Linked DNA regions of Ovis aries. The protein of the gene in region 1 interacts with the protein of each later gene in a pairwise test. Links are inferred from orthologs where the notes say so. Each region holds a gene or a part of one and is shown in the gene's direction. Other genes may lie near its edges.

What was found.
Region 2: the proteins of KRT40 (region 1) and LAGE3 interact in binary tests that used the Homo sapiens proteins (3 or more experiments, as listed by UniProt). The two-hybrid records come from large-scale screens. The link is inferred for Ovis aries from reciprocal best matches to the Homo sapiens genes KRT40 and LAGE3.
Region 3: the proteins of KRT40 (region 1) and CCDC185 interact in binary tests that used the Homo sapiens proteins (3 or more experiments, as listed by UniProt). The two-hybrid records come from large-scale screens. The link is inferred for Ovis aries from reciprocal best matches to the Homo sapiens genes KRT40 and CCDC185.
Region 4: the proteins of KRT40 (region 1) and MXI1 interact in binary tests that used the Homo sapiens proteins (3 or more experiments, as listed by UniProt). The two-hybrid records come from large-scale screens. The link is inferred for Ovis aries from reciprocal best matches to the Homo sapiens genes KRT40 and MXI1.
Region 5: the proteins of KRT40 (region 1) and SH2D4A interact in binary tests that used the Homo sapiens proteins (3 or more experiments, as listed by UniProt). The two-hybrid records come from large-scale screens. The link is inferred for Ovis aries from reciprocal best matches to the Homo sapiens genes KRT40 and SH2D4A.
Region 6: the proteins of KRT40 (region 1) and ZNF202 interact in binary tests that used the Homo sapiens proteins (3 or more experiments, as listed by UniProt). The two-hybrid records come from large-scale screens. The link is inferred for Ovis aries from reciprocal best matches to the Homo sapiens genes KRT40 and ZNF202.
Region 7: the proteins of KRT40 (region 1) and SHFL interact in binary tests that used the Homo sapiens proteins (3 or more experiments, as listed by UniProt). The two-hybrid records come from large-scale screens. The link is inferred for Ovis aries from reciprocal best matches to the Homo sapiens genes KRT40 and SHFL.

What each region holds. Positions count from the first base shown.
Region 1 is NC_056064.1:40,929,765-40,933,799, reverse strand, and holds the start of KRT40 (keratin, type I cytoskeletal 40), read left to right. Parts: upstream 1-1,235; 5' UTR 1,236-1,237; coding exon 1,238-1,684; intron 1,685-2,519; coding exon 2,520-2,602; intron 2,603-4,022; coding exon 4,023-4,035. UniProt on the Homo sapiens protein: May play a role in late hair differentiation.
Region 2 is NC_056080.1:79,963,787-79,966,675, forward strand, and holds LAGE3 (EKC/KEOPS complex subunit LAGE3), read left to right. Parts: upstream 1-1,195; 5' UTR 1,196-1,242; coding exon 1,243-1,436; intron 1,437-1,760; coding exon 1,761-1,889; intron 1,890-2,054; coding exon 2,055-2,169; 3' UTR 2,170-2,389; downstream 2,390-2,889. UniProt on the Homo sapiens protein: Component of the EKC/KEOPS complex that is required for the formation of a threonylcarbamoyl group on adenosine at position 37 (t(6)A37) in tRNAs that read codons beginning with adenine.
Region 3 is NC_056065.1:26,076,934-26,080,963, forward strand, and holds CCDC185 (coiled-coil domain-containing protein 185), read left to right. Parts: upstream 1-1,467; 5' UTR 1,468-1,526; coding exon 1,527-3,416; 3' UTR 3,417-3,530; downstream 3,531-4,030.
Region 4 is NC_056075.1:30,309,417-30,313,475, forward strand, and holds the start of MXI1 (max-interacting protein 1), read left to right. Parts: upstream 1-1,259; 5' UTR 1,260-1,505; coding exon 1,506-1,767; intron 1,768-3,380; exon of another isoform or gene 3,381-4,059. UniProt on the Homo sapiens protein: Transcriptional repressor. MXI1 binds with MAX to form a sequence-specific DNA-binding protein complex which recognizes the core sequence 5'-CAC[GA]TG-3'. MXI1 thus antagonizes MYC transcriptional activity by competing for MAX.
Region 5 is NC_056079.1:37,635,031-37,639,134, reverse strand, and holds the start of SH2D4A (SH2 domain-containing protein 4A), read left to right. Parts: upstream 1-1,304; 5' UTR 1,305-1,655; intron 1,656-1,916; exon of another isoform or gene 1,917-1,975; intron 1,976-4,104. UniProt on the Homo sapiens protein: Inhibits estrogen-induced cell proliferation by competing with PLCG for binding to ESR1, blocking the effect of estrogen on PLCG and repressing estrogen-induced proliferation. May play a role in T-cell development and function.
Region 6 is NC_056068.1:34,082,025-34,086,238, reverse strand, and holds the start of ZNF202 (zinc finger protein 202), read left to right. Parts: upstream 1-1,414; 5' UTR 1,415-1,526; intron 1,527-1,765; 5' UTR 1,766-4,214. UniProt on the Homo sapiens protein: Transcriptional repressor that binds to elements found predominantly in genes that participate in lipid metabolism.
Region 7 is NC_056058.1:12,503,755-12,507,805, forward strand, and holds the start of SHFL (shiftless antiviral inhibitor of ribosomal frameshifting protein), read left to right. Parts: upstream 1-1,251; 5' UTR 1,252-1,339; coding exon 1,340-1,360; intron 1,361-1,818; coding exon 1,819-1,942; intron 1,943-2,133; coding exon 2,134-2,183; intron 2,184-3,553; coding exon 3,554-3,592; intron 3,593-3,734; coding exon 3,735-3,884; intron 3,885-4,051.

The sequences.
Region 1 (4,035 bases):
TCATGAAAATTTTAACTTTGTCGGAGTAATGGGCTACCCACCCCATAAAGATCTTTAACATTCTGCAGACAATTTTCTCTGTACACTTTTTAAAATGAAATAAATACCACAATCAAAGGCAAGAAAACTGAAAATTGGAGATAAAACTTAAGAAAGAACCCAGAAAACTTACATCTCAGATCCCTATCCATTCAGTACTGCCCCAGGGAGTTCATCCAATGGAATTGCTGGAACTCATACAAAAGACTTTTATTCCCAAGTTCCAGCATATTTAATTTTCATGAAATTGAGGCCTTCAAAATTAAATAAATTAGTAAATCTGAGAAAACAGCTTCCATGTCCCAGAAGAAATGCCTTTTGTAACTTTCTTCCTTCTATACTGAAGTGTAGTTAACGAAGGTTTAGCTTCCTGAGACTAAAAAATTATAACAGAATTCATATTTCATTCTTATTAGAGATACAGATGAAAAATCAGTATCTCTGATATAAAAGTGAAGCATAGGAAAAGTAGAGAAGGCAAGTTTCAGGAAATCAAAGATTACAACTCCACGTTTTGATAACCAATTTATATTTTGGCATGTAGGGCAAAAGTGATGCCCATCAGTTATGTAAAGTGACTTTTCAGTTTGCACATGGGCATGTATGGTTCTCACACACACACTTCAAATTCAGTATACACTCAGTCCTCCACCATGTGAGCACAGCAAGACCACAAAAAGCATTGAAGATGGCTAATCACACAGAACACTTTTATGGTGGGGGCACAAACAAATAAATAGCATTTAAATGAGTTGTAACATTAATTTCAAAAGAAGACGAGCAGTTTTCAATGCACAGGATCAAAATCTGTAGGGATATGATTTCCTTTATGTGTAATCAGTTGTATCTATAATTACTGATTGCCCAAATTTTCTCTTTCTTTCCTTATTCTGTCAAAAGGACAATGCTTCCTGTGAAGATTTTCTGAAACAAGTGCTTTATCCTATTGGCACATGGAGATGGTGTCTTTATTTAGAAACCTGAAGTTATGGCTCTTTTACGAAGCATAAAACTCTTCTTCAGCAAATAAACAACACTAATGAATGTTCATATGAAAAATGCACCGGAAAACATCCTGTGTAGTCTGTAAATACCCATTTGAAGTGGGGTATATATAAAAGTCTCGGGAGGGAATGAGAGTTTTGGAGGCGGGCAGTTGGAGTTTTGCAACTAGTCTTTGCCCTTCACTTCTGATAGAATGGCTTCTGACTGTTCCCCCACGGGCTGCTCTTCTGAATCCAGTGCCAGGGCTTCTGATTGTGCGCTTGCCTCAACCTGTTCCGCGGCAACCACTTGTCTCCCCAGCGCCTGTGCTACATCCAGCTGCCAGACCCCCAGCTTTCTATCCGGGTCTCGTCTGCCAACTGGGTGCCTCCCACCGTCCTGCTTTGCGGGGAGCTGTAATATTCCGGGCGTGCTGGGGAACTGTGCCTGGTGTGAGGACGGTGCATTCAACAGTAACGAGAAGGAGACGATGCAGTTCCTGAATGACAGGCTCGCCAGCTATCTGGAGAAGGTGCGCGGGCTGGAGGAGTTGAATGCTGAGTTGGAATGCAGGATCCGGGAACAGAGTGAAGAGGATGTCCCGTTGGTGTGCCCTGATTATCAGTGTTACTTCGACACCATTGAAGATCTCCAGCAAAAGGTCTAGTATCCCATCACCCTAATGTTCCACCTTCCCACTCTGTGATGTGCTTTATGTTTCTACTACTACAAGAGTCTGTTCTGTGGAGGGAAACCAGGGAAAGGGGAGGGGCTTCCCAGGGGGAATGTGATGTAGAGGCAAGGGTACTGGACAAAAAGCCAGCAAACAGGGTGACCGGTGGTCCAATGGTTCAGACACTGTGCTTCCACTGCAGCGGGCTTAGGTTCCATCCCTGGTGGGGGACTAAGACCCCACGTGCCATGCGGCATGGCCCAAAAGAATAGAGGGGGAAAAAGTCAGTAAACATCAGCGCTAGCCTGTATGCTGCCGCTAATTACTAAATGACCACAATAAACCCGCTTATCCCTAAATTTACCTTGAGGAAAAGCAGTGTGATATCTAAAATTATTTCTGCGTGTAACACTGTACAAGTACATTATTTAACATAGATATGGAAATGTCATCTTTTAACCATATAATTTTACCTGGTAATTATGTCTTTTTCTTACTGATAAATTTTTATTATCATGGGTGGAGATGTAGTCATAATATAAACTCCTAGAGAGAAATCTACCTAAGTTCAGTGGCCAAGGAATACTGCAAAAATGTTTTTAAGTCATTAAAAAAAAAACAACAACCTTTTTATTTCTCTATTTTGTTTATAAATTGGCCCTCCTTTTTCCTTCATGAAATGATATGGTCAGTAAAAGCAGGCTGAAGGCCTATATTTTCTTATAAAGACTTTTAAAAGATAAACCCTGGCATAGTTATTAAATGAGTAGATATGTGGGTTTCTTTCAAAGAACCATTCATGACATAGTAACTTTCTTCCCAGATCTTGTGTACGAAGGCAGAAAATTGTAGACTTGCTGTACAGCTTGACAACTGCAAACTGGCTGCTGATGACTTTAGGTCAAAGTAAGTTTAATTTGAACTTTTTTTTCCTTGCAAGAAATTGCTTTACAATCTTGTGGTAGTCTCTGCCATATGTCAACATGAACCAATCATAATTATATATATATATAATATATATAATATATATATATATCCCCTTTATCTTGAGCCTCTCTTGCCTCAATTCCACCCCTCTAGGTCACCGCAGAGCACAAGGCTGGGCTCCCTGTGTTATACAGCAGCTTCCCATGAGCTATTTATTTTCCCCATGATAGTACGTATATGTCAAAGTCACTTTCTCAGCTTGTCCTACCCTTTCCTTCCCCTTGCTGTGTCCACCAGACCATTCTCTACATCTGCATCTCCATTTCCTCTCTGTAAATAGGTTCATCAGTACTATTTTTTTAGATTCCATATATATATATGCATTAATATACAGTATTTGTTTTTCTCTTTCTGACTTATTAATGATTCCCTCTGTATAATAGGCTATTGGTTTATCCATCTCACTACAACTGACTCATTTTTTTCCTTTTTATGGTTGGGTAATATTCCATTTGTACGTATTATCTCAATGTATGTATGTATCTTTACATACATGCATGTACATGTATGTATCTTTATGTATGTGTGTATCAATGTATGTATCTTTATCCACTCATCTGTCAATGGAAGTCAAGGTTGCTTCCATGTCCTAGTCGCAGTAAATAGTGCTGCCATGAACACTGGCGTGCATCTGTCTTTTTGAACTGTGGTTTTCTCAGAGTGTATACCTGGTAGTGGGATTGCTGGGTCATATGGGGGCTTTATTCCTAGTTTGTTAAGGAATCTCCATACTGTTCTCCATAGCAGCCATACCAATTTATATTCCCACCAACAGTGCCATAGGTTCCGTTTTCTGCATATCCTCTCCAGCATTTATTGCTTATCATTTTTTCGATGATAGCCATTCTGATTGGTGTGAAGTGATGCCTCATTGTAGTTTTGACTTACATTTTTCTAATAATGAGAGATGTAGAGTATCTTTTCATGTGTTTATTGGCCATTTGTATGTCTTATTTGGAAAAATGTCTGTTTAAGTCTGCGCATTTTGTTTGACTGGACTATTTGTTTCTCTGATATTGAGCTGTATGAGCTGCTTGTATTGTGGACTTAGAAGCAAGTACAAGCTAGAGTAAGACCAGATCTGAATTCGAACTTAACATATGGTAGGCTCTTCCGCTTCTTCTCTCACATACCTACATGCACACATCACAAGGATTCCCTTTATAATATTTTTTCAAGCTAAGAATGCTCACAAAGCTTGAATTTTTCATGATTTGGATGTAGAAGAAATTATGGCATGTGGGTTCCTTGATGTCATGTGTCCCTCAGCTGTAGGGCTCAGCACTTTTCTCAGTGTCCAGCAGAGTAAGCATTGGCTGTATCTCTTTTGCTGTAAAAGGTACGAATCTGAA
Region 2 (2,889 bases), on another chromosome or scaffold:
ATGCCTGGGAACCACTAAGCCAAGTACCACAACTACTGAGACTGTGCTCTAGAGCCCACGCGCCCTACAGCCTGAGCTCTGCCAACAAGAGAAGGCACTGCAATAAGCCCGCTTGCTGCAACTAGACAAAAACCCTCACAGGAAGGAAGACCCAGCACAGCCAAAAACAATTAAATTATATGTGAAATATATATATCAAGTTCAGGGAGATAGGGTGGCCACCGGTGGAGACTAGCAATGAAGGGGGAGAGGGTAGGCTGATTCAGGATGGATTTCGAGGGGTGATCCAACAGGCTTTGATAACCTACTTCACCTTTATGCCCTTCCTTCTGATTACAAAGGAGGAAAACAGAAAACTAACAGGGCTATCACCATCAGAAATTTCATGTCACTTTAAAAACTTATTTTTGATTAAAAATGCCGTATAAGGTTACTGTCAAAAACTTGCAGAACAGAAAAGGGAAGTTAAAATCGAGTCATACAGTTTGTGAAAGGCCCGAGCTGTGGGAAAGAAAGAGTTAGTCGCTCAGTCGTGGCCGACTCTGTGGTTTAGTCAGTAAGTCGTGTCCAACTCTTGCGACCTCACGGACTGTAGCCCCCAGGCTCCTCTGTCCATGGGGTTCTCCAGGCAGGAATACTGGAGTGTGTTGCTATTTCCTTCTCCAGGGGATCTTCCTGACCCAGGGATCAAACCCGGATCTCTTGCATGGCAGGTAGATTCTTTACCCACTGAGCTACAAGGGAAGCCCCGAACTGAGGAAGGGAGATTCATTTCTCTGCGGCCAACGGAGATTCCCCTCGGCCGGCCGGCTCCACCAGACCTGTTTGCGCAAGCGCGCGGGGCGGGGTCGGCGCGCGGGGCGGGGTCGGCGCGCGGGGCGGGGTCGGCGCGCGGGGCGGGGTCGGCGCGCGGGGCGGGGTCGGCGCGCGGGGCGGGGTCGGCGCGCGGGGCGGGGTCGGCGCGCGGGGCGGGGTCGGCGCGCGGGGCGGGGTCGGCGCGCGGGGCGGGGTCGGCGCGCGGGGCGGGGTCGGCGCGCGGGGCGGGGGCGGCGCGCGGGGCGGGGGCGGCGCGCGGGGCGGGGGCGGCGCGCGGGGCGGGGGCGGCGCGCGGGGCGGGGGCGGCGCGCGGGGCGGGGGCGGCGCTTCAGGAAGAAGCAGCAGTTTTTAAGCTGCTCGCGTAGCGGGTGGGCGACGGAGAGTCCTGGAGCCAGTGGGTGGGGTTGGAGGCGGAGCACGGCAGCCATGCAGGAGACAGGTGGGGACGTAGGCGCAGGCATCCTGGCGGGTGGCGCCGAAAGCCAGGGCCGGCGGGGGTTCGGGGGTGGCCGGGGCAGCCCCGGCAGCGCGGGTGCTGCTTCCGCTGCAGACCACGGAGCTCCGGGTGTCGCGCCGGCCCAGCACTCTTCCCAAAAGCCGGGAAGCCGACCATGCGTATTGTATCCTACTCGAGGGGCAGTGCGGATTGGGCTGGGGGATGCCTGCGGTGGGAGGTGGGACAAACGGACCGGCGGGTCAGGGGCTGCTGGGGGGTGGAATGGCCAGGGCGCCTGGGGCGGGTAGAGAATAGAGAGCTGAAGGGAGACTGGAAGCTGGGATGGGCCTGGGTGGCGTGGGTCGGGGGGAGAAATGGGATCTCGGGGCAGTGGGGTGGCTGGGCTGGATTAGGGCTACGAGCGGCCCGGAGGGGCTGGAAGCGGTCCTGAGACAGGACCCAGAGCTCCAAATCCTTGTGGGTGGTACCTTAACCGCATCTCCATCAGCACCCTAAGCGTGCCTTTCCCGTCCGCGTTGGAGGCAGAGATTGCCCATGGGTCACTGGCCCCAGATACCGAACCTCACCGTGGGGCGGTTGGGAAGGAGCTCACAGTGAGCGGCAATGTCCTGGCTGTGTAAGTTGGAAAAGGGGCTGGTTGGAAGTGGTAGCAGGTGACCAAGCTTGTCTCTCGCCGGGGGCGCTCTGTTTGGACATACTCAAGGGCTGTGTTTATGGAGGTGACGCAGTGCCCTTGATTCAACCCATCTCCACCTTGATTCTCTTTTTCTGTCATTTTCAGCTGCTGGAGAGCTGAAGATTGCCGCCTCCTTCGAATCTCCATTGTCAACTTTCTGGACCAGCTTTCTCTGGTGATGCGAACCATGCAGCGCTTTGGGCCCCCTGTTGCTCGCTAAGCCAGGGCTGGGGAAAGGGGGGTCTGATCTGGTGGCCCTTCCTAGACAGTGCATCCTTCCTAGGGCAGTGATTCCTGCACTAGTTGCCTATTATGGGGGCCTCATCTTTTGGCTATAATGGCCCTTGGGTGCTCAAGGTCCACTTGCATTGTTTGGTACTTAAATGTTTCTTAACTACTGAAAATAAAATTGACCTATGATGAGTTTATTTTCAACTGTAGCACCTTCAAAATTCTTGCATTTGTTCTTAGATGGGAGGGTTCTGATTCAGATAGTCAAGTAGTACAGTGTAAGTGAAGATAATCTAAGAAATGGAGGAGGATAGGTCCTGTCTCTCATTCAGTATTAGCTACTATCAATATTTTGGAGTATTTTTGAGTTTTATAGTTACATAGTAAATGTGTAATAATAATATTTGATATTTTGCAAGTTTAGCATTTTTCCTGGTATTTCTCATCTAACATGAACTTTTTTCTAAAAATTCTTCAAAATCATTATTGATTGTTTAAACTATTTTCAGTCTTTGCCATATTATAGGTAATGATTCCATGGAACACTTGTATATAGATCTTTGCATGAATGATTAAGATTACAAGAAGTAGAATTAATTAAATATTTAAAGCTCTCAATCTGAAGCATGTGAAATTACTGTCCATAAAATGCCCTCCCACCAGAATTCTGGTTTCCCCACATTAGTGTCACCATTGGGGGCTTCCCAGG
Region 3 (4,030 bases), on another chromosome or scaffold:
TAAGCTAGGAATCTGTAGAAACTTTCGTAAACCCATATATAGTAAGTCCCCTACATACAAACCTTTAAGTTTTGAACTTTCAAAGATGAGAATGTGCATCTGGTTCCAGCAGGGAACCAAACTTAGAACACCAATGTCAGGCGAGAGTGAAATTGCACCTTGCCCTCCGTCTCCTGTTGCTGATGATTCTTCAGCTCTCCCATCTCATCTCCCACCTCCTCTCCCTCCTCTAGTCAATAACTCTTCTTGCCTGTTCACTTGATGCTGGCCCCTGTGTGCCAGATGCTGTACTGTACTACTGCACTTTTCATGGTACTGTACTGTAAGATTAAAAATGTTTTATTTTTTTGTGTATGTTTTGTATGTATTATTTGTGTGAAATGTATTATAAACCTACCACCTTACAGTACTATATAGCTGACTGTGTTAGTTGGGTACCTAGGCTAACCTTGTTGGACTCATGACAAACTGGATTTAGGAATACACTATTGGAATGGAACATGTTCATATGTAAAAATCTTACAATGTATTAAATGTATTTTCTGTATTAAATCTTACAATTTGTAGCTGAAGGCTAGAAGGACATCAAAATGATATTAATTGACTGTATTAAGGTGCTAGGCTCTTGAGGCATAGTTTCATCTACCTTATGGCAGCCCTACAGTGGTATTGTCATGGCCCCTCTTCCAGTCATCTGTTCCAGAACTTGAGGGTCAGGAAAGTTATCAACTTGGCCAAGACCACACAAGTGGAAAGTGGCAGAGGAGAGTCAAGCTCAAGTCTACATGACCAAATCTAGTGCTCTTCCCATGAGCTCTGAATGCCTCAACCCGAAAAAGTCATCTCATAAAACTGGAGAAAAAGGAAAACAATAAAGTGATTTGCCATGGTGTCCACCAATGCTATTTCAGAAATATGCACCTAACATTCCTATTTTGACAAAAGCAGTAATTGCTGTATTAGGAGGAAACAAACTATTGTGTTTTGTTTTCTGTCCTCTAAAAGTTTAAAAAACTATCCTTGAGCATGCTAAGTTATAAGGGCAAAAGGATGGTGCATATAAATTAACGAGCCTCGACTTTGCCTACACTGCAGAGGTGCACTGTGGTAGGGACCTGTGACTAAAGGACTCCCCACCCCACACTTCCAGGCCACATTCTATCCTTTTAAAATTCTGCTAGTTTAAGATGTACAAATGCGAGTTCAAATTCCTGCCTGCAACACAGGTGGGGGTTCACTACGCACCCTCATCTTTAGGGTGCCCCGAACTTTCTACAGCCCCCTCTACCATACGCCCTCTCCCAGGCTCCAGCCGCCTTCCCGCCTCTCGCTGCGCGGGGTGCTAGGAAGGCCAAGGTGGGCGAGGGCTGAGGGCTGCAGCAGCCAGGTGGCGCCGGGAGCATTGTGAAGTGGCCTGAGCGTCACAGGCGGCCAGGACCCCGGGATCGGAGGGCGGGGCGGGTCTCAGCAGCGCCCCCGCCGAGACCCGGGACCCGGATTCAGACGCTGGGCGTGCAGGAAGGAGAATGGAGGACTTCGGCCGCTTCTCCCCGCGGCCCCACTCGGCCCTGTGGGAGCCTCCGCCGCCCAGCGAGGAGAGCGCATCCTTGGCTCAGCTGGACGGGTCGGGACCGCGGACCGAATCGGGCCTGTGCTCCTGGGCCCGGACACCAGGCGAGGAGAGCGAGGCCACCGCGCCCTGGCCTCACCTGCTCTGCTCAGCCACCCCTCGGCCCAGCCGGCGCCCGTACTCCGACTCGCCGCAAGAAAGTCGCAGCCTGACCGACGTGACCCGGAGATTACTAGACCGTGTCAGGAAGCCCCGACCCCGCAGCCGGCGCCTGGAGGATGTCTGGGGGGAGACAAGGACCAAGCCCCAGGAGCAGGGAGGCAGCCGGCACAGCCCGGCCTGGCAGCTGGAGCCCCAGCCTCAGCACGGCCAGCACTACCCTCCCGCCCGGGGAGATTCGCCCCCTCCTTACCCGCAGGGAGCTTACACTCCCGCGAACCGAGCCTTTGAGGACGAAAAGGCGCAGAGCGGAGACCAGTGGGCAGTGCCGGTCGGCAGGGGTCTACGTCCCTGGTCCCTTTCCTCAGTCCACACGGAGAAGTCTTCTGTGTCCTCCAGAGAGTTTGGGACGCAGTCGGGTTGCCTGCACATCCAGAAAAGACACAGCAACGATCCGGTGGAGTCATTAACCAGCCAGCTTTCCCAGTCCCTAGTTTCCAGCAAGGAGATGCAGAAGCAGCACACCCAGGTCCTCAAGAACAAGTTGGAAGAGGCAGTAATATCCTCCAGGGACCAGAAGATCGTGGCCCTGGTGCTGAGCCGGCTCAAAAAGGCCCAGAGGATGCGGGAGCTGCAGCAGCAGGCGGCCCTGGCCTGGGAGGAGCTGAAGCGCTCCGACCAGAAGGTCCAGTTGACCCTGGAGAGGGAGCGCAAGCTGCTACTGCAGCAGAGCCAGGAGCAGTGGCAGCAGGACAAGGGGCAGCGCAAGGCTCGTCTGAACCGGGAGCTGCGAGTCCGGCGGCGGGACAGACGAGCCACCAGCACGGTCCAGCAGGAGAGCAGCGGGTGGAAGGCACCGCTGGAGGACCAGGAGAAGCAGCGCCAGGAGAAGCTGGAGGGGGCCCCCTCCGAACCCGAGGCGGAGCCGGAGAAGCAGTGCCAGGGGCAACGCCTGCCAGAGAGGATGCTGCGGGACCTGCAGGTGCGAAACAGCCTGCAGCTACAGAAGAGGCTGGCGCAGGCATGTCTAAAGAAGCACGTTCACCCCACCAAGGGCCAGAAAAAGATCCAGGAGACCAGTCTCAGCTCTTTAGTCAATTACCAGGCCAGGAAGGTCCTCATGGACTGCCAGGCCAAGGCTGAGGAGCTCCTCAGGAAGCTGTCCCTGGAACAGAGCTCCCGATGGTCCCAAGAGATGCCCGAGGGCCAGATGAAGGAGCCCCACAGAGAGCTGAAGGACAGAGTCCAGAAGGAGGAGGAGCGGTTCCAGCAGGTGAAGAGGTGGGCTGAAGAGTCCCAGGAGCAGAGAGAGGAGCATAAGTCGCTGCTGGAGGAGCTGGCGGACCAGAAGATCCTGCAGACCCGGAGTCAGGTCCACAAGAACGTCAGGGACAAGGCGCACCACATTCGGGAGCTCAACATCCTACGGGAGAAGAATCATCACATCCTGAAACTGAAAGCCGAGAAGGAGGAAAGATGCCACATCGAGGGCATCAAGGAAGCCATTCGGAGACAGGAGCAGAGGATGGAGCAGATCTTGCGAGAGAAAGACGCAACCTTCGAGGAATTCCAGAAGATCTCCAGGGCCTCCAGGACAGATGACGTGAGAACACTTGCCAACAACTTCTTTGATCGGATGACCCGGGAGGCCCAGGTCCCAGCCGGGCAGCAGAGAGGGGGCTACTGAGAACCTGATGACAAACAGCTTCCAGCCTAGGTGGCTAGACAGAGATCTGGCAATGTGATTCATTTTCTAATTTGATTATGACTGAGCATTGATTTTTAAAAAGCATATAAAATAGCAGCAACTTTCTCTCACGAACTAGTTTGTTGATTCATTGGGATGGTTGAGAGGGTGGGATAAACATTTCCAAGTTTTAAGAAAATTACTTGCCTTTGTACATTTGGCTTTAAATAGAAAATACTCATTTGCCTCTCAGGTAATCTCAGAAGCGTATGAATGTCAGACACATTTTGAGGAACCAAAGAAAAAGTCTACAGTGGGGAATAGAGTTCTGTGCCATGGCTTCAGTCTTTCCCTGTCCCAGAACTTATGAAAGGGTGAAGTGTGAAGTACTTGTCATAGGAAATCTCCAAGAACAAAAAGTGAGGTGGGGAAGCATGGGGGGAATTCCTGTCAATAAGTATATTGGAGAACACAGCATACTACATCCCCTCTTGGGAGTTCATAACACAGCTGAAAATTTTAAAGGCTCTGAAAAGTCTTGCAGTAAAGACACATTTGATTAACCTAGAGTTTTTCACAAACCATGGAACTTTTTTTTCTCTTGGATCCTTCCA
Region 4 (4,059 bases), on another chromosome or scaffold:
GACAAGTGTGTGTGAAGCTGTCTCTAAGCAGAGTGGCTGGGTTGCACAACTCCAGGGGGCAGCATTCACTGTGTCTTCTGTATAAATGGTTTCCCTGGAGGAAACCTCCAGGAGACCTTGCAAGGCAACAATATTTAGATAGGCTTATTGCACAGATGTTTTTCAACAAAGTGCAGGAGAGTCTTGTTTCCTATAACTTATTTCTCCTTTTAGCTGCCAAGTAGGGGACTCAGGTTCTTATCTGGGTCTGTATTGGAAGAAAAAGATCATACTATGAGCATGCTGACTGCAGATATAATTTAATCAACTCATGAATCTTATCAGAGGTTTCATGGATGGGGAAACAGGCTGAGAGAGGTTAGGGGACTTGCCCAGGCACACTCACAGTCCAGTCTGTGTGCAGCAGAGCTGGGGCTTGAATGCCTCTCTATGGCATTCCCCAACGGCCCTGACTGCCACCACACTTCCCAGGCCTGGAAAGCATCCATGGTTCCTGCAGACCCTGAATGGTCTGCACTGGCAATGGAACAGTGTCGCCTAGGGTAGGGGTCTTCAGAACCAAAAGGTGGAATTCAGCCACGGTAGGGGTGGGAAGTTCCTGGGCTGCCACGTCCGCCTTTCTGCCAAATAAAATAAAAGAGAGCCAGGTGTGGAGGCTCCCTACTGTGAGCTTTGCACAGCTGGACTAAGGCTGGGAAGAGGAGTGTGGGGAGAGACGCTTCCATCTCCTCCCCCTTCCTGGAAAATAACTCTGCATTTGAAGGGAGAAAGAAAGAGTGAGTAAATTTGTAACTGGGATTTGGTGGCCTGGGGATTTCATTTGGCCCTGTGAAGGCAGATTTCTGTGCCTCTGTGTGTGTGCGTGTGCGTGTACGTGTGTGTGTGTGTGTGTATGTAGGAGTGTGTCTATTGAGGGGAGAGAACTTGAGGTAACGTGTATGATTTTTTTGGACTGGACTTTTATTTTTTAAGTCATAGCAGCTACCGTTGGAATCTAGTATGTGGTGCCAGGCATTGGTATTATTTTCACGTGAAGTAAAAGAACAACAGTTTAATAGTTTGTTTTTCTGTGGGTACGCTCCGAGCCCTCGAGTATTTTTTCCATTTGGGTTTAAATACTACGCTCTACAATGTGATAAGATTGGGGAGAGGCGGGGTAGTATGCCAGGACTGGCAGGGGGCGGTCCCTGCCTCGCTTGTCTCCGCCTTTCATTTTGACCAGTCCGATGGCGACAGGCTCGCACTAGGACCCAGGCGCCAGAGCGCCTCCGTCTGTCCTGTAGGTTCATTCAATCTCCCATACACACAGACCCACAGCGAGACCGACACACACTCACACACACTCAAACACACAACAGCACGCAGCGAGGCTCGGGAAGTCAGGTCGCCTTCTTGCCTCGGCGCCTTCTTCGCTCCAGCCAGCCGGCTTTCCCCCGGGGCCCGGAGCTTGGCCGGGCCGCGCAGCCCCGAAAGAGGACGAGCTCGGCGGACCCCGCGGTCCCTCCATGGGCAAACGCGGGCGGCCGCGCAAGGAGGCGCGCTGCGAGGGCGCGGGGCTGGCCCCCGCCGCGCCCCCGGCCGTGACCGCGCCCCAGCCCCCGGCCCAGCCGGAGGAGCCCGCGGGGGCCAAGCTCAGGTGCCCCTTCTCGGACATTTTCAACACCAGCGAGAACTCGATGGAGAAGCACATCAACACTTTTCTGCAGAACGTGCAGATTCTGCTCGAGGCCGCCAGCTACCTGGAGCAGATCGAGAAAGAAAACAAAAGTAAGTTTGGGGGCCCTGGCTCCTCTTCGGCGCCGGGCTCTTTCTTCCTCGCCCACTTGGGCGACCCCTGACGCCTGCTTAGCCCCCCTCTCCCCAACACACTCACATCTAGCCCTCGGCAGTAAAGCCGATGACACCGGAGAAAGGACACGCACGCACAAAGCTGCTAAAGATGTAACAAAGACGAGCAGGGGGTAGGCGGGGGGGTGGGGGGGGGGGGGGGGGGTGCTGTCGGTGCGTCAGTCTGTCCGTCTCCGGGAGGGTGGGAGAACCGCTGGGCCGAGGAGCGGGGGAGTGTTGTTGTTTGCTGACAACTGAGCCGAGAGCTCATCTCTTCGAGGTCGCGTTTCTTACTTTTTTTTTTTTTTTCCTCTCTCCTTTTTTTTTTTTCCCCCGGAGCCTTCTCGGGCAGACAAGTGTTGTTTTTCCGTCGCTCGTTCCTGGGTGGGGTGGGGATTACAAGACGAAAGTTGGAAACTGTAGGCAGAGCTCGGCGGTTCCAGAAAGAAAACACATAGACACACGACAACGATAACAACAAGCAAACAGCCCTCCACGGCGTGGGCTCCGGCTGGCTCGGCTCTGCTTCTTCCTCCTGTCTACTTTGCCTTTTCCTCTCTTCTCGCTGCAAGGCTGGGCTCAGGCCATCGCGTCCACGGAGACAGTGCCCCTGCGCCTCTGCTGCCCTAGGTGCCCCTGCCCCCGACTCCCCCCACCCCCAAAGAAACAGGCCGGCAAAACCAAGCACCGCCAGCAGCTCGCCCGGGACCCGCGGTGCTGCGCCCGGGAAACTTGGCGAGGGGGACTCAGCGAGAAGGAAACTTTGGGATCTCGCAGGAAACAATAGTTGTGGAAGAAGGTGTGGGCTGTTATGTGCTGTTTCTTTATTTTCCGGGATACGGCTCCCGAGTGAGCGCGCTGGGCGAGGAAGGCAGATGCCTTCCTGGTGGCTTTCTACTGCTCCCCCAACCCCCACCCCAGATTCAGGTGGAGAGAGATGGTTGCGGGCGGGGGTGGGGGGGGCGGGCTGGGAGCCCCACCCCGGCCTGGCCTCCTTTTTCATATTTGTTTGTTTCATTTTTGCCTGGGTCCCCCAATCCTCCCCACGCCGTCGCCTCAGCGCCCTAACGGGGGCACGCGAGTGCGGCGTCTCCAGCACGGTTCTCACAAATAATAGCTGCGAGGAGGAAGGGGCCGAGGCGGACAGGCCACAGACTAGAGAAAAGCTAGCTGTTTAATCTGTCCGAGCAAGTAGGAAGATCAATGAGATGAGAGAAAAAGAGGGGGGGGGGGTGAGAGAAAGAAAGGGAGAAAAATGGTCCGATTGCAACGTGTCAAGTCTTGCAACCTAACCCCCCCAAACACAACAACAACCCTCAAACACAAAAACACCCTAGATGACCGACACCCCAGGCCTTCGGGGTTAAAGTAACCGCGTGATGGCAGCGAAATCGTGCAGTAGCTTAAGGCAAAAACAAGGATTTGTGTTGGGAGGTTGGTGGTGCGTTCTTTTCTTTTCTTCTGTCCCTGTTTTCTCGGGGTGCCTGGGTTACGAGAAAGGCGCATCGCCGGCGGTTGCAGCCGAATCAGTTTGCGATTATTCCGGGTGTCGGGTGGGGGGCAGTATGCCTTCGCCTGTAGGGTCAGAGCTGGTGGGGAGGTGGGTGAAGACATGGTTTTGTTTGGTGTGTTTGCTTTTGTTGGAGGGGGAGGGGCGTGATTTCTTACTCTAACCACCCCCCCCCGCCCGGGTCCCCCATTCCCCCGAGTCTGTCCCGTGGCGCCGGCTTTGGCGGGGGGGTGCACCCAAAAAGGGCACCTTGGCAGTGAGTGGCAAACCTGGTTTGCCCCCGCCCGGTCCCCTCTACAGAGGGGTGTACGAGAAGCTGCTGGAGCTTCCTCCGCGTCCCGCGTCCCCCGCCCCTCGCACTCGCAGACAATCGGAGACCTCTGTTCCCCACCTCGCCGCCCCCACCCTCGCTCCCCGACCGCCTCGGCCGCCGCCACCTCCTTGTTTACCCGGTGCCGGGGCTCCGGCGTGGCCACCAGTCACGTAAGCAAAGGGCCGGGCGCGCCGGGCCGGACTGCCCCGCACGGGGCGGGCCAGAGGTAGTGGAGCCGGGCTCCGGGGACCGTGCAAGCCAAGGGGCTTCCTCCCGGTCCCCTTACGGAGGCATCCGCGCTGCCACCCCCCGAGAGGGGCTTGGGAACCTGGGCGCCCTCAACTTCGAGTGCATAATCAGCCCCTCGGCCCGGTTGCCCTCCTCCTCCGGCCGGCTCCCCGCTGGAGTA
Region 5 (4,104 bases), on another chromosome or scaffold:
TGGTCTGTGCTCCATCCCAATCTCAACAAAATAACTGCTGGGTTGGGGGCGGTGAGGGGAACAAAGGGGCAAACTTTAAACCTCCCTCAGGTTATTGTAAGCTGTGCTTAAGAACGACTTCTGGGATCACCAGCAGTAACCCTTTATAAAACTAAAATGAAATTGTGTACTTTTTGAAAAGATGGCAAGAAAGATAGAAGTTAGGAAATACTTGATTTTGAATCTAGTCCAAGCAAGAGATGAGACTTTGGTTTCATTTGTACTAGGAGACCTAGTCCAAGCTCCCTGGGAAGATCTGAGGATACCGGGAAGCTCGTAAGGGCTTTTAACAGAACTTCAAGAACAAGACAGCTGGTGATACACCTCATAAGTGTCCCTGACTTGCCAGTGGCCAGCAGGGTGAGGCTCAGCACCATCCCCTGGCAAGGCGTGGTGGCCCAGACCTCACTTGACAGGCACGTGAAGGCGGGCACCCTCCCACAACACATCCTGGATCATTGGGTGGGGAGATGTTTCCAACCCGGAACGTGGCCCAAAGGCAGATGAGAGCCTCATAGTTAAGTCACAGAGTCACTGATGTGGGATCAGTCCTGGCAACAAGTTCATGATTTCAAGGAGGCAGAAACATACATGCGGCTCCTGTACAAGGTAGTGCTGCCTCCAATGGGGCCGGCTGTCTGCTCCCTGCGTGTCTGGCTTCACCATGACCGGCATGGTGACCAGCAAGCGCTCATTAAATGCCTCTGGGGACTGTGTTAAGCTGACTTTGTCGTTCTTCAACGGCTTCACCACGGAGTGTTAGGGTTCCCTGAGCCGGCACCAGCAGCTAGCCAGGTTAAATGACACTCCAGCCAGAAATACGCGACAGGCCATAAGTTAATAAGCAGTGGGAACCAAACCCAACCAGAAATTCTGCCCTGATTAGGATCCTTAGACTAGCTCTCAAATAGCTACTCGAGAGGCCTGACTTCCGCCCCCAGGTTCTACCTCTCCAGTATCTTCCGAGGTCCCGAGAGGCTAGAAATGGGAAGGTTTCATTTTTGAAAGGAGCAAGTCAGGTAGGCTGTGTAGACAGGTCTACACTCGCTGTTTTTACCCTTTTCTCCCTGACACCTGCGACCAGGTTGGGGCAGGGTGTGGTCAGGACAGCAGGCTCCTTGCTCCACACATGCTGAACGGTCCTCTGAATGCAAAATGCCACCGGACGAGGCCACTCTGCCTCCAATGAGCTGTCCTCCCAGATTTCCTTCTCTGGCCGGCTCCTCCCCCCGGGCGCCACCCAGACCTGTGCTGTCCCCGCGCGCAGTTCAGCGCCGGCCTTCACCCTCTCGCCTTCTCCCCTTCTCCGCACTTCTTTCATTTTCTCTCCCCCCAAACCCCCTGACCGACCGTCTCCAGTCTCCATCTTCCCAGCCTTTCTCCTCCGGGTCCAGGCCTCCTACGAAGCCACACCCTTGCGGACCAGCGCCCGGGAGGAGTTTGATAATTGACTTAAGGTCAACAAAAGAAAAAAAGTGAGCTCGGAGACACTGGAGCACAGGCTCCTCCGGCGGAGCTGAGAAGGGCTCCCGGCCCCGGGCCCCAACCTGCTGGGACGCCCGGCAGGACCCCGCCCGGCCCGCGGGGAGCACGGAGGGACGCGCCGGCGGCCGCAGGTGCGGGCGGGCTGGGGGGCTGGCAGCGGGCCGGGGGGCTGGCAGCGGGCCGGGGGGAGGCCCTCGCCCGCGTCTCGGCCGCGCGTCTGTGCAGCCGGCCGCGCCCGCCTCGCCCTCGGCGCCCCCCGGCCACGGCGGCCCGGCCCGGCGCGGGCGGGAGGCGGGAGGGGCTGCCAGCGCGGGGTCTCCCCGCGGGTGGCGGTCCCGCGCTCCTCCGCCCTGCGGGCTCAGCTGCGAGCGGCCCGGTGTCCGGTGTCGGGTGTCCGGTGTCGCCGCGCCGGCAGGAGAGCGGCGGCGCAGAGAGCGGGCCGGTGGTCGCGGTGAGGGGCGCGCGGGCAGCTCCGGGCCGCGTTCGTCGGAGGAGCGCCCGGGGCTGCCGGGGAGGGAGCGCCTGGGGGTCGCGGGCGGGGAAGGCGGTGCGCCAGGCGCGCGCGCCCCGGACGCCCAGGGCAGTCCCGGATCCCGTGGGCGCGGGCTGCGCTGGGGGGCCGCGCGGGGCCGCGGTGGGCGCGCCGCCCCCGGAAGGCGGGCCCAGACGGTGGCTGCAGGCGGCCGCGCGGTGACCTTCCCCCGCCCTGGGGTTCGCGAGGGCGCCCTTGGGGTGGCGCCCGGGGCACCGGGGAGTCACTGCAGGTTCGCTCAGAGTGTCTTTCTCTCCCCAAGAGTCACAGGAAAGAGGCGACGGAGCGCCCCTTTCTTTCTAAACTTGAGTCCGCTCAACCCTAAAAGCTTTGTTGGGTGCCTGCTTAAGAGAAACAATGACTTGGATACAGGTTTTTTATTTTTTTTTTCAGTGAAGAAGTAAGTGGAATCAATGCGGGCGTAGATCTGGCGTGAGTGAAATTTCTAGATAAACCCGTGTGCGGTGATTTCAAATTTCTGAAGAGTGTTATATCATCTTTACAGAATTTACCAAATTGATGTCGCCCCCCTGCCACCAATTCATTTTATCTTCAAAGAGAACCTTTGTGCGGGTAGACTAATAAGGCAAAGTTGAATGAGATAACTGAAAGCTGGCTGTTTGAAAAGAATTATAATTCAAATGATATTCTTACCATTAAAGTTATAATGTCCATATCACAATATTTTTATGATTAATTAGGCTTTTTTTTTTTTTGGTGCTCAATTGTGTCAGACTCTTTGTGACCCCATGGACTGTAGCCCCCCTAGACTTCTCTATCCAGGGAATTTTCTGGACAAGGATACTGGAGTGCCTTGCCATTTCCCTCTCCAGGGGATCTTCCAGATCCAGGGATCAAACCCAGCTCTCTTGCATTTCCTGCATTGGCAGACAGATTCTTTACCACTGCAATGTCCTTTCGGGTAAGGTCTCAGAGACATTAAAAATACAAAAAGTCCTCTAAAAAAAAGAATCGTTGTTTAGAGGACAAGTATGAGCAAGTATGAGAGCCAGGCCACACCTATGGGAGTCCTGGGAGACAACTGTGACCCATTAGAAATTTATTTTTGGAAAAAGTAGCAGACGTGGACGTGTTGCTGGTCATTTTTGTCTTTTACGAAAAGTATTGCACAGGAAGAAACTGAGTTAGCCCAGCTGTCCTTTTTACTGGGTCTTGAATGGGGGCAGCCCGCTGCACTCAGTGTGCCCGACTCAGCCGCAGCACTGATTGTCAGGGGGTAAAATAGGGGAAATCCTGGCCAGTTGACTTCCTCCTTTCTGCTTCCTCCACCCTGCCTCCACTTGCCTCCGTAAGTCCCCGCTGGATGGTGTGGCACAGACCTCAGGTTACAGAGTCACAGTTCAGGCTCCTTTTACGGTGAGGAAAGCCAGCGCGGGTATGTGAAGTGACACCCAGCCCGGCAGAGGCAGGGCTGGCCTCCCGGGCCGCCGGCGCTGTGTTTGAGGTTCCCACTGGCGGGCCCCAGCCTCAGCGTCCCATGCAGTGCTTGTATTTCAGCAACCTCGCCCCGCAAGATTCTTGTCAGCGGGATCCCCAAGTTTTCGTTGAGGATAGGGGGAAGCCAGTGTCTTTCCCTGAAGGTCCACTAATTACCTTTAATACAAAAAAAAAAAAAAAGCATGTTTGGGGGAAACCGCACAAGATTGAAGCTGTGAGAGCTTGGACCTGTCATCCCTGCGGTACAGAGCCGCCCTTTCCCCCAGTCTGTCTCCGCTGCTGGTCTGTTCCCCAGGGGCTGTGGATGGAGCTGCGGGTGGATGCTGTGTAGACAGTGCTCTATGTGAATGCCGTGAGCCCCGTGTGTCAGTCACTGCCCGCTGTCCTTCCTGGGGTGGGGGCTTTTCCGTACCTGCCCTCCCCTAAGGCCACTTGCACTTGCAGAGATGAGGCTTCTGCCCCCAAGACGTCAACCCTGCCTCACGCACTTTGGGTTCAGCATTTCCGCTGCTGCCAGAACTTGCTTCTGAAGCGTCACCTGCAGTTCCCCATCCCGGTGATGCTCTGATTCTGAAAGGTGAAAGTTAAAG
Region 6 (4,214 bases), on another chromosome or scaffold:
ACACTGTCCATGATAACAATTATAAACAACATATATTATTACTAGGCGAATGGCTATTCAGACTGTGGAATGTCATGCAGAAAGACAGAAGGAATAAGGATGAAATATATGTACTATGAACAGATGTCCAAGACCCCTTGCTAATGTTGTGGAATCCAAAGTCACAAAACACACCTCAGAGGACACTCAAGACAGTGGAGTACAGTTTATTATGCCAGCAGGTCCAAGGGGAATCAGCTCCCAACAAGGACCCTGATGTTTCTGAGGCCCAGTTTTACACCACGCCCCCTGGCCCCCACAGGACTGGTTACATGTTAGCAACCTCTTTGTTGTATATGACTGAGTTTTACAGTAGGTGCTAGGAGAATAAACAATTAAGGTTAAACCCTATGTGTGAGGGGGGTAGGGGGGACAATGATTTTACATCAAGGGGGGATGTCTTCATGGTTAATCTAAGAGGGGCAGCCTGACCTGAACTACAATATGCGTTTGCCATCTGTAGGAAGGGAAGTCTCCAGGAGATATGATTTTCATTGGCAACAGTCTCCTCACTCTTGGGCAGGGTTCAGGCCCAGTTTACATCTTGCTTTAAGATGGATGACAGGTTTCAGGACGGGAGTCTCTCCTGCTTTCCTCACACTGGCCCCACCACTAGGAGAAAATGGCAAACTGATGACTCCAACACGAACACACACACACATGTGCATACACACAAAAGGAGTAGGAAACTGAAACCCACTCCAGTATTCTTGCCTGGAAAATTCCATTGACAGAGGAGCCTTGAGGGCTACAGTTCTCCAGGGTAGTAAAGAGCTGGGCAAGACTGAAGCCACTAAGCAGCAGACCAGCAAGCTTCTACTAAGCTCCAATCAGTTCACATGCAAGATATTATTTAGCCCTTACAGTAACAGTATTACTTGGCCCATTAAAGAAGATGGACACTGAGGTTCAGAAGTGGATTTGTCCGAATCCCTACAACTGATGGCAGCTACAAGAGGCAGTAGTCAACCCCCAAACTGCTCTTTTCTACCATGTGTCCCTGATAATGCAAAGAAAGGGGGGGGAGGGGACCAAGAAAAACAGGTAAAGATATAGGTATCAAAATTAAAACGAACAAAACAGCTGAAACAGAAAAAAGAAAAAAGAGTTCCCCCCACACACCCCCCGCTGCAAGGGCACGAGTGTAAATGCACTCCCACCACAACCCCATAGCCCGTCCCCCTGCAGAGCGGGGCAGGAGAGCTGGACAGAAGCGATCTATCTGAAGCCCTTGACTCGGATTCGCGTCCCGGTGAGCCTCCTAGAACCAGGGGGCACAGAGAAACAAGCAATCCTCCCAGAGCCTAGAAAGGCCCCAGGGCGGCGAGGGGGCGGAGCGAAGGGCAGTTTCCGGTTCCGGGCGCAAAAGCCCCACGTGTTCCGACCCGCCGGGCCCCGCGCGGCTCGGATCCGGCGGCGCTGCCTCTGCCGGGAGTGGGTGGGGGAGAAGCCGGGGCAGGGGAGGAGCCGCCGGAGCTGTTGGAGCCGTGAGTGCTGGGGGCTGGGCCGGGCCGGGCCGGAGCGGGCTGAGCGGGGCTAAGCGGCGAGGAGGGGGAGGGGTCGGAGACCCCGCCCCCCTGGAGCCCCGGGGGAATCGTACTGTCCTGGGGAAGGGGTGGCGGCAGTGCGTGGAGGGGGCCGAGGCGTGGTGGTCCCCATGTGTCTTGGAGGCCGAAGCTAGAGCCTCCGGAGATGTGGATGGCGATACATGCTTCTTTCTTTGCAGCCACCGCCCTCCGCCCCCTCCTGAGGCCTGCAGAAACGCAGTTAGTTCGTACCTCCCGTTGCTTCCGCGCCAGCGGCCCCCCTTCCCCCTGAAACCGAGGGAGGAGTGGTCGAGGCCCCTTCAGTTCCGGCGGCCTGAACTGTTTTCTCCAGCGGCTCGGTGTTTTCTCACCCCGCTTCTCACCTGGTTAGAGCAGTCCTCCCGAAGGCTCCCTGTCCTGGCGAGTCCCATCACTTGCCAACCACTAACTCCGCTGCAACACACGTAGATACACTCACCCGTGATTTTATTACCCGTGATCATCGGAGGCTTTGGAGACCATCTGGTCTGTGCCTTTTCAGCTCACCATGACCGATCCGAATCTTCTTTCAAGCTAGCGACTGCTGTCTTCACTTGCAACTTGCAACGTCCCTTCCTCAACCCCTAGCAGCTAGTTTTGGCACTTCTCGACACCATCGCTACCCGGGCCCGGCTTTTTGTCTGGTTTCACTAAAAGTTTGTTACTTTGTCTGCCATGGATTTGCTTCATTTTCTCGGAAAGTTGTCAGCCAGGTTTTAATTTTTCTGGACACGGATGTTCTTTTCTCCTGGTCACTTTGATAACCCTGCCTGCCTTGGTCCTGGGGTGCTCTCACATCTTAGCACATCCAGGGTCTACTTAGAGGCTAGACTTAGAACTGTTGCTTTTTGTCTGTCCACATTCTGCTGGTGACACCCAGGGTAGCCTCACTCAGAAGCCACAAGGAAAGCTAGTGGAGTCGCTCATCCCTCCAACTTCTCTTCCAAGCTGCTCTATGGGCCTTGAGCCAGAAAGCCACTTAGGAAGTGTGAAGCAGCCATGGGAGGCTTGTTAGTGGGAGATACATGACAGGGGAGCTGTTAGGGATTGCAGGCATTTTTCTTGGGTAACTTTGTGCTTTTACCGTCCGGTGTAAGAAGGTTGCCAGGGGTGCAGGGAGGATGGGAACTTTTCCTAGGACCAAACACCTGGGATTCCTAGGCTTTCCTCCTTTCTTCTGCTCTACCACTTTTGCACTCTCTCTGTATATACGTCAGTAGACAGTCATTTCAAGGGCATATCAAGGTTTACTACTAAATGAGGGACTCTTGAGCATTATAAACTATACAGATGAGGTAAGTTACAGGTTTACAACATTATTTTTCCAATTATTTGGCAGAGGCGTAAAACATATAATGGTCCTAGACACTTTTCTGCCTTTACATTTGGGCAGCACTGGAAAAGTCGTACCTTAGATTTCCTTCCTTTGCTTTTGGTACTGGTCCTCAGACTTAGCAAGTATCGGCATCCCCTGGAAGGCCCACAGGTTACTGGAGCCACCCCCAGAGATACTGTCTGTAAGTCAGAGCTGGGTCTTGATCATTTGCATTTCTAACAAGTCCTCTGGTGCTGGCGCTGCTGATCTGGCTTTCTCAGAATGAGAACCACTGCCTTTGGCCAAACTTCTTCACACGTCCCAGTGGTTTGAGCATCAAAAGAACTGTGTGTGAGCACCTCTCTGCTTGAAACTAGTAACACGATCTTGTGTGGGTAGTATAACTACTTAGGTCTGAGTTCTTTCATTTGTGAAATTAAGAAAATGTCCTTCTTTGCAGCCAAGTGCAACATTATCTTAAGCTGAATTGATGGTGAAATATTGAGTTTTCCCCTTGATTTTCTTAATTCTCTTAATAGGAGCTTTAATTTTGATCATATAGCTTATACCCATATTCTCAAGTTTTGCTGTGAGTTCCTAGTATATTAAAGTCCCTGCTGTTTTTTTAACTACATTAAATTCTTTCAGATCAAGGCCTGTGCTTTTTTTCCTCTTTCTTTGCCCAGCACCTTGAATTGTGTGGGAAACACAATTGATGTTCAGTAGATATTTCTGGGCTGAATGAACTTCATCCCTTGCCTTTCTCCTCTCTTGAAGAAGTTTCTCTCCACTAATTCTTTGTAGCAAAGTAGTATGTGTCCATGCCACCTGATTCTCCGCAGGGGATTGAAATAAATGCTTATGTCAAATTCCTGTAACTGTCCCCAGAAGCCCTGGTACCCACTGATTCTGAACTACAACTGAATATTCAAGTTGGAGGAAGAGAAGTGAGCCACTTAATTGAATGCATCACACTTTTTATTGAGCATCTTTTTTAATCAAGTGTTTACCAAAGCGTTAAGAACTGGAAATATCAAAATATATAAGGAGGCCCTTGCCTTCAGGGATGGGGCTCACAGTGGGAGACAGACACTAAACAGCACAAGAATGGCATCCTGTGATTACTTCTACTTTAGGGCCGTCACGTAGTCTGCAGTGGAAACCTGGTACCACTCCGATTCTTCTCGTCCAGCAGGCATGGGTCCCGTCCTTCATCATCTCATCATATGGAGGGGAGCAAAGCCAGGAGGAAGTCATCTAGATACAGAGCAGGGAGTATCTTGACAGAATATTAA
Region 7 (4,051 bases), on another chromosome or scaffold:
TCGAGGAATTGAGCTTCCACATCTTTACTGATGGAGGTTAAACAATTTGAGGGGTGTCATTTATCCTAACACAATTTTGCCACCCCCAGGGAACATTTGGCAACGTCTGGAGACATTTTCAGTTACCACGACTGGGGCAAGAGTGCCACAGGCATCTAGCGGATTGAAGCCAGGGATGCTGCTAAATATCCTACAATGCACAGGGCAGGCCTCCAGAATCACCCAGCCCTAAATGCCAATAGCGTTGAGGTTGAGAAGCCCTGGCTTAAAGCGCTAGTCACTTTTTTCTGGGGTCTTTGCACCCAAAGCTGTTCCATCCCGCACTCCGATCTTCTGACTGCTGAGACCTCGGTCTTCCGGACTCCTCCAAGAAGCCATTTTTTTCTTTTTTTAAAGAAACCATTTCTGATGCCGCCAGGCAGGGCTCTTCCAGCCCCCTCGCCCACCCCCCACCCCCCATGCTGGGTTAAAATCGTCCTGATCCCTCGGGGTTCTCAATCTTCCGTTTTTCAGCGCAAATTCCCTGGAACCCCTAGACAGACCGATTCTGCAAGACTGTGAGGAACCAGGAATCCGTATTTTTAACGAGCATCTTCTCCCCACCACAACTGCCTGCTTCTTAATATCTTGCACATAGTAGGTGGCCCAGTGACTAGTTGAATGTCTACAGCATGGCAGGCGCTACTAAATACTCGACCTGGGGATCTCGAATCCTGCACCTGCGCGCGCGCGCGCACAGGCATGAGCGCGCGCGAGCACACACACCCGTCCCCAGGATGTAGCCACTATCATCATCCCCACTTTACAGCGAAGTAAACTGAGGTTCAGAGAGAAGACATAGCCGGATAAGACACTCAGAGCGAGACAGGGGTCTAGATCCTCATTAGCGCCTGATTCCGGGTGGAGGGAGGGGACCGAGCGATGAACAGGGGAGCGCGAACAGGCGGGGGCACGGAGACTCGCCGCGGCCTTCAGATGCGGCCCCGCCCCCACGAGGGACGTGAAGACGCGGACCCCGCGCAGCGTGGGGACATGTGACCGACTGCAGAGGCCGCGCCGCTTCCCCCGCCCGAGTTCTGCGCGCTCCGCCGCAGGGTGCAGATCCGGGGCGCCCGCCTGGGTTTGGGGCGCAAGAGCAGAGGCGGAGCCAGGGCGGAGCCAGCCCTCCCCGTCCACCCCCCCGTTCCCAAACGAAAGCGAAACGGAGCGCAGGAAAGGAAGGGCGGAGCCGGCCTGGAGGCCCCGCCCCCTGCCCTGCGCGGCCGGACCGACGGGCGCGCCCAGGTAGGGGGCCGCCGAGCGCGCAGTGCGGACCCTCGCGGGGACCTACGCCGCCACCATGTCTCAAGAAGGTGTGGAGGTAGGAGATGGCTACAACTGGGCCGGTGGCCCGCGAGAGATGCTGAGGAGGAGCTAGGGGCACGGAGCGGGCTTCGCAGTTGCTGGGGACTCCATCCAAGCCCAGACCTTCCCCCCAAGGCTGGCACTCGTCTCCCTCGGAAAGGAGAGTGACCGCCACATGCCCCGGAGCAAAATGCGGCCTCCTCGAGGGAAAGCGGGGGCTGCTGGGTCAAGGGTCAGAGGCCAGGGGTCATCTGGCCGGCCTCATCCCTTAGCCTGGGACGCTCGCCCTAGTCCGCTCCCTCCCCCAGTACTCTGTGGGGACTTTGGCTTTTTCCAGGAAATGCAGTAGAGGGATGGGGGGGGGGGGTGCGAAGGCCAAAACCCGGGGTCAAGTTCGGGCCGTGAAAAAAGGAAGCCTAGGGATGGAGGAAGGGCAATTGCGCTTTTCCTTCCCCCACCGGTCCCCTACCCCAGCTGGAGAAAAGCGTCCGGCGCCTCCGGGAGAAGTTTCATGGAAAGGTATCCTCCAAGAAGGCAGGGACTCTGATGAGGAAATTTGGCAGCGACCACACTGGAGTGGGGCGCTCCATCGTGTATGGTGAGCAGGTGGGGGTCCTGCCTGGTGAGAGTTAAGCTGGGGAGCAGGGAGGGGGTGTGGTCTGTGCTGGGGGCTGGAAGAGGCGATGAGATCATCTCTTTGGGGGGCGGTCTGGATCGGGGTTCTGGGGGCCCTGAAATTCCCACAAAACCTTTCAAGGGGCCTTCACTTACACTTACTCTCCCCACCAGGGGTAAAGCAGAAGGATGGACAGGAACTGAGTAATGATCTGGACACCCAGGTAAACTGCCCCCTCCCCTCAAAACACGTGGTAAGGGAAGGAAGAAGGGAAGGGTCAGGCTCATCCCTGGCAGAGCTCTTTCTGTGCACTGTCCATCCACAACTCATGGTCTAGCCTCATTCACTTACCTCTCAGTTATGGATCTGACCAAGGAGCCTGCAAACCATAGGTGCTCATTACATGCTGATTGTATGAAATGGAGAGAGACAAGAAACTAGGCAGTGAAAAGAATCCGGATTATCATCATTACAGAGGAGCCAAAGAGGTCAGGGAAGGCTTCCTGGAGGAGGTGGTACCACATTCTTCAAGCCTAGGGAGGAGTGATCCCTGGGAAGGGGAGGGGTTGGAGATCTTCCTGGAAGAGAGGGTGACCTGAGCAGAGGAACTTGCAGACAGGTTGGGACGAGTAAGAGATAGGGGAGGAAAGAGGGGCAGGGAAGCCCATGTAAATGAATGACTAAAGCAATGAATGAATGAGAGCCTTTGTATGGCCACTTTGCCCCTTAGATGGCCTTGGTAGCTGGTGCACTGGTTTGCCTGTCTGAAAGGGCCCAGCACAGAGCTGTTAAAGAGTATAATAAAGTATGTTTTATACTTGTAACATTTATATATTTACAGTTATACATATAATGAGTATAATAAAACTAGCAAAGAGTATCATTGATTGAGCACTTTCCCTGCAACAGGACTCCAGGAATTCTGTTGACTTATTGCCACAGGTCCTGTGAGACAAGTCCTATTATTTATCATATCCACTTGACAGATGAGGAAACTGAGACACAGGGTGATGAAGTCACTCACCAGGCTCATGCTGAATGCAGGTGGTGACTGGGATTTGAACCCAGGTCACCTAGAGTCAGAACCTGGACTCCTAGATGTCCTTCATTAGGGAGAGTGGCTTGGCCACGACCCCACAGCTGGAAGTGATGAGGCCAGGATTCCAACCTGTGGCTCTCTGAATCCAGAGCTCAAGCACTTAGCCTAAAGCAGCATAGCCTCAAACAGGTGACCTGTCACAATGCCAGCAAGTGTGTGGCATTTGCCAGCATGAAGGGAGCATGGGGCCCAGGCCTGTTGCCCACACTCACTCAGGGTAATCTCAGGCAAGCCCTCTCAGAGCTCTGGGCCTCAGTTTCCCCATCTGAGCAATGAGGATCACAGGTGTGCCCACCTCTCAGGGTTGCTATGAGGACAACTGAGGTCACACACCCTTGCCCTCAGGAAGTGGAAACTGCTCAATTAACTCCTCTTGAGTTGGGGACACCTTACTCATATGGGGCCAGAACCCTGCCTCCCCATCCAGAAGCCCTGCCCCCAGAAAAGAGGCATGAGCCACCTCCCCAGTTTCTACCCCTGATGTTTCCACCCAGGACCCCCCAGAGGACATGAAGCAGGACCAGGACATCCAGGTGAGTCCAGGGTGTGGGATGGGGAGGTGGAGCGGTGTGCACACCCCTGGGGGTATCCATACGTGAGAAGGAGGGACAGGATAGGGGTTTGGAAGAGAAGAGGACTGACCGCCCTCTTGGCCCCGCCCACCCCATTCTGCAGGCGGTGGCGACATCCCTCCTGCCACTGACAGAAGACAATCTACGCATGTTCCAGCGTGCCCAGGAAGACCTCATCCCTGCCGTGGACCGGCAGTTCGCCTGCTCCTCCTGTGACCATGTCTGGTGGCGCCGCGTGCCCCAGCGGAAAGAGGTGATAACCCAATCCCTGACCTTGGTTCTGTCCCGGCTCTGCTCCCAACCCCCATTCTGTGTCCAAACCAACTGACCTAAGAACATCAGCCTCTGAGACCCCAACCCCGGACACCTGCAGCCTCAGAGATCAACCCCAATCTCAGCCCCAACGCTGACCTACTGAGC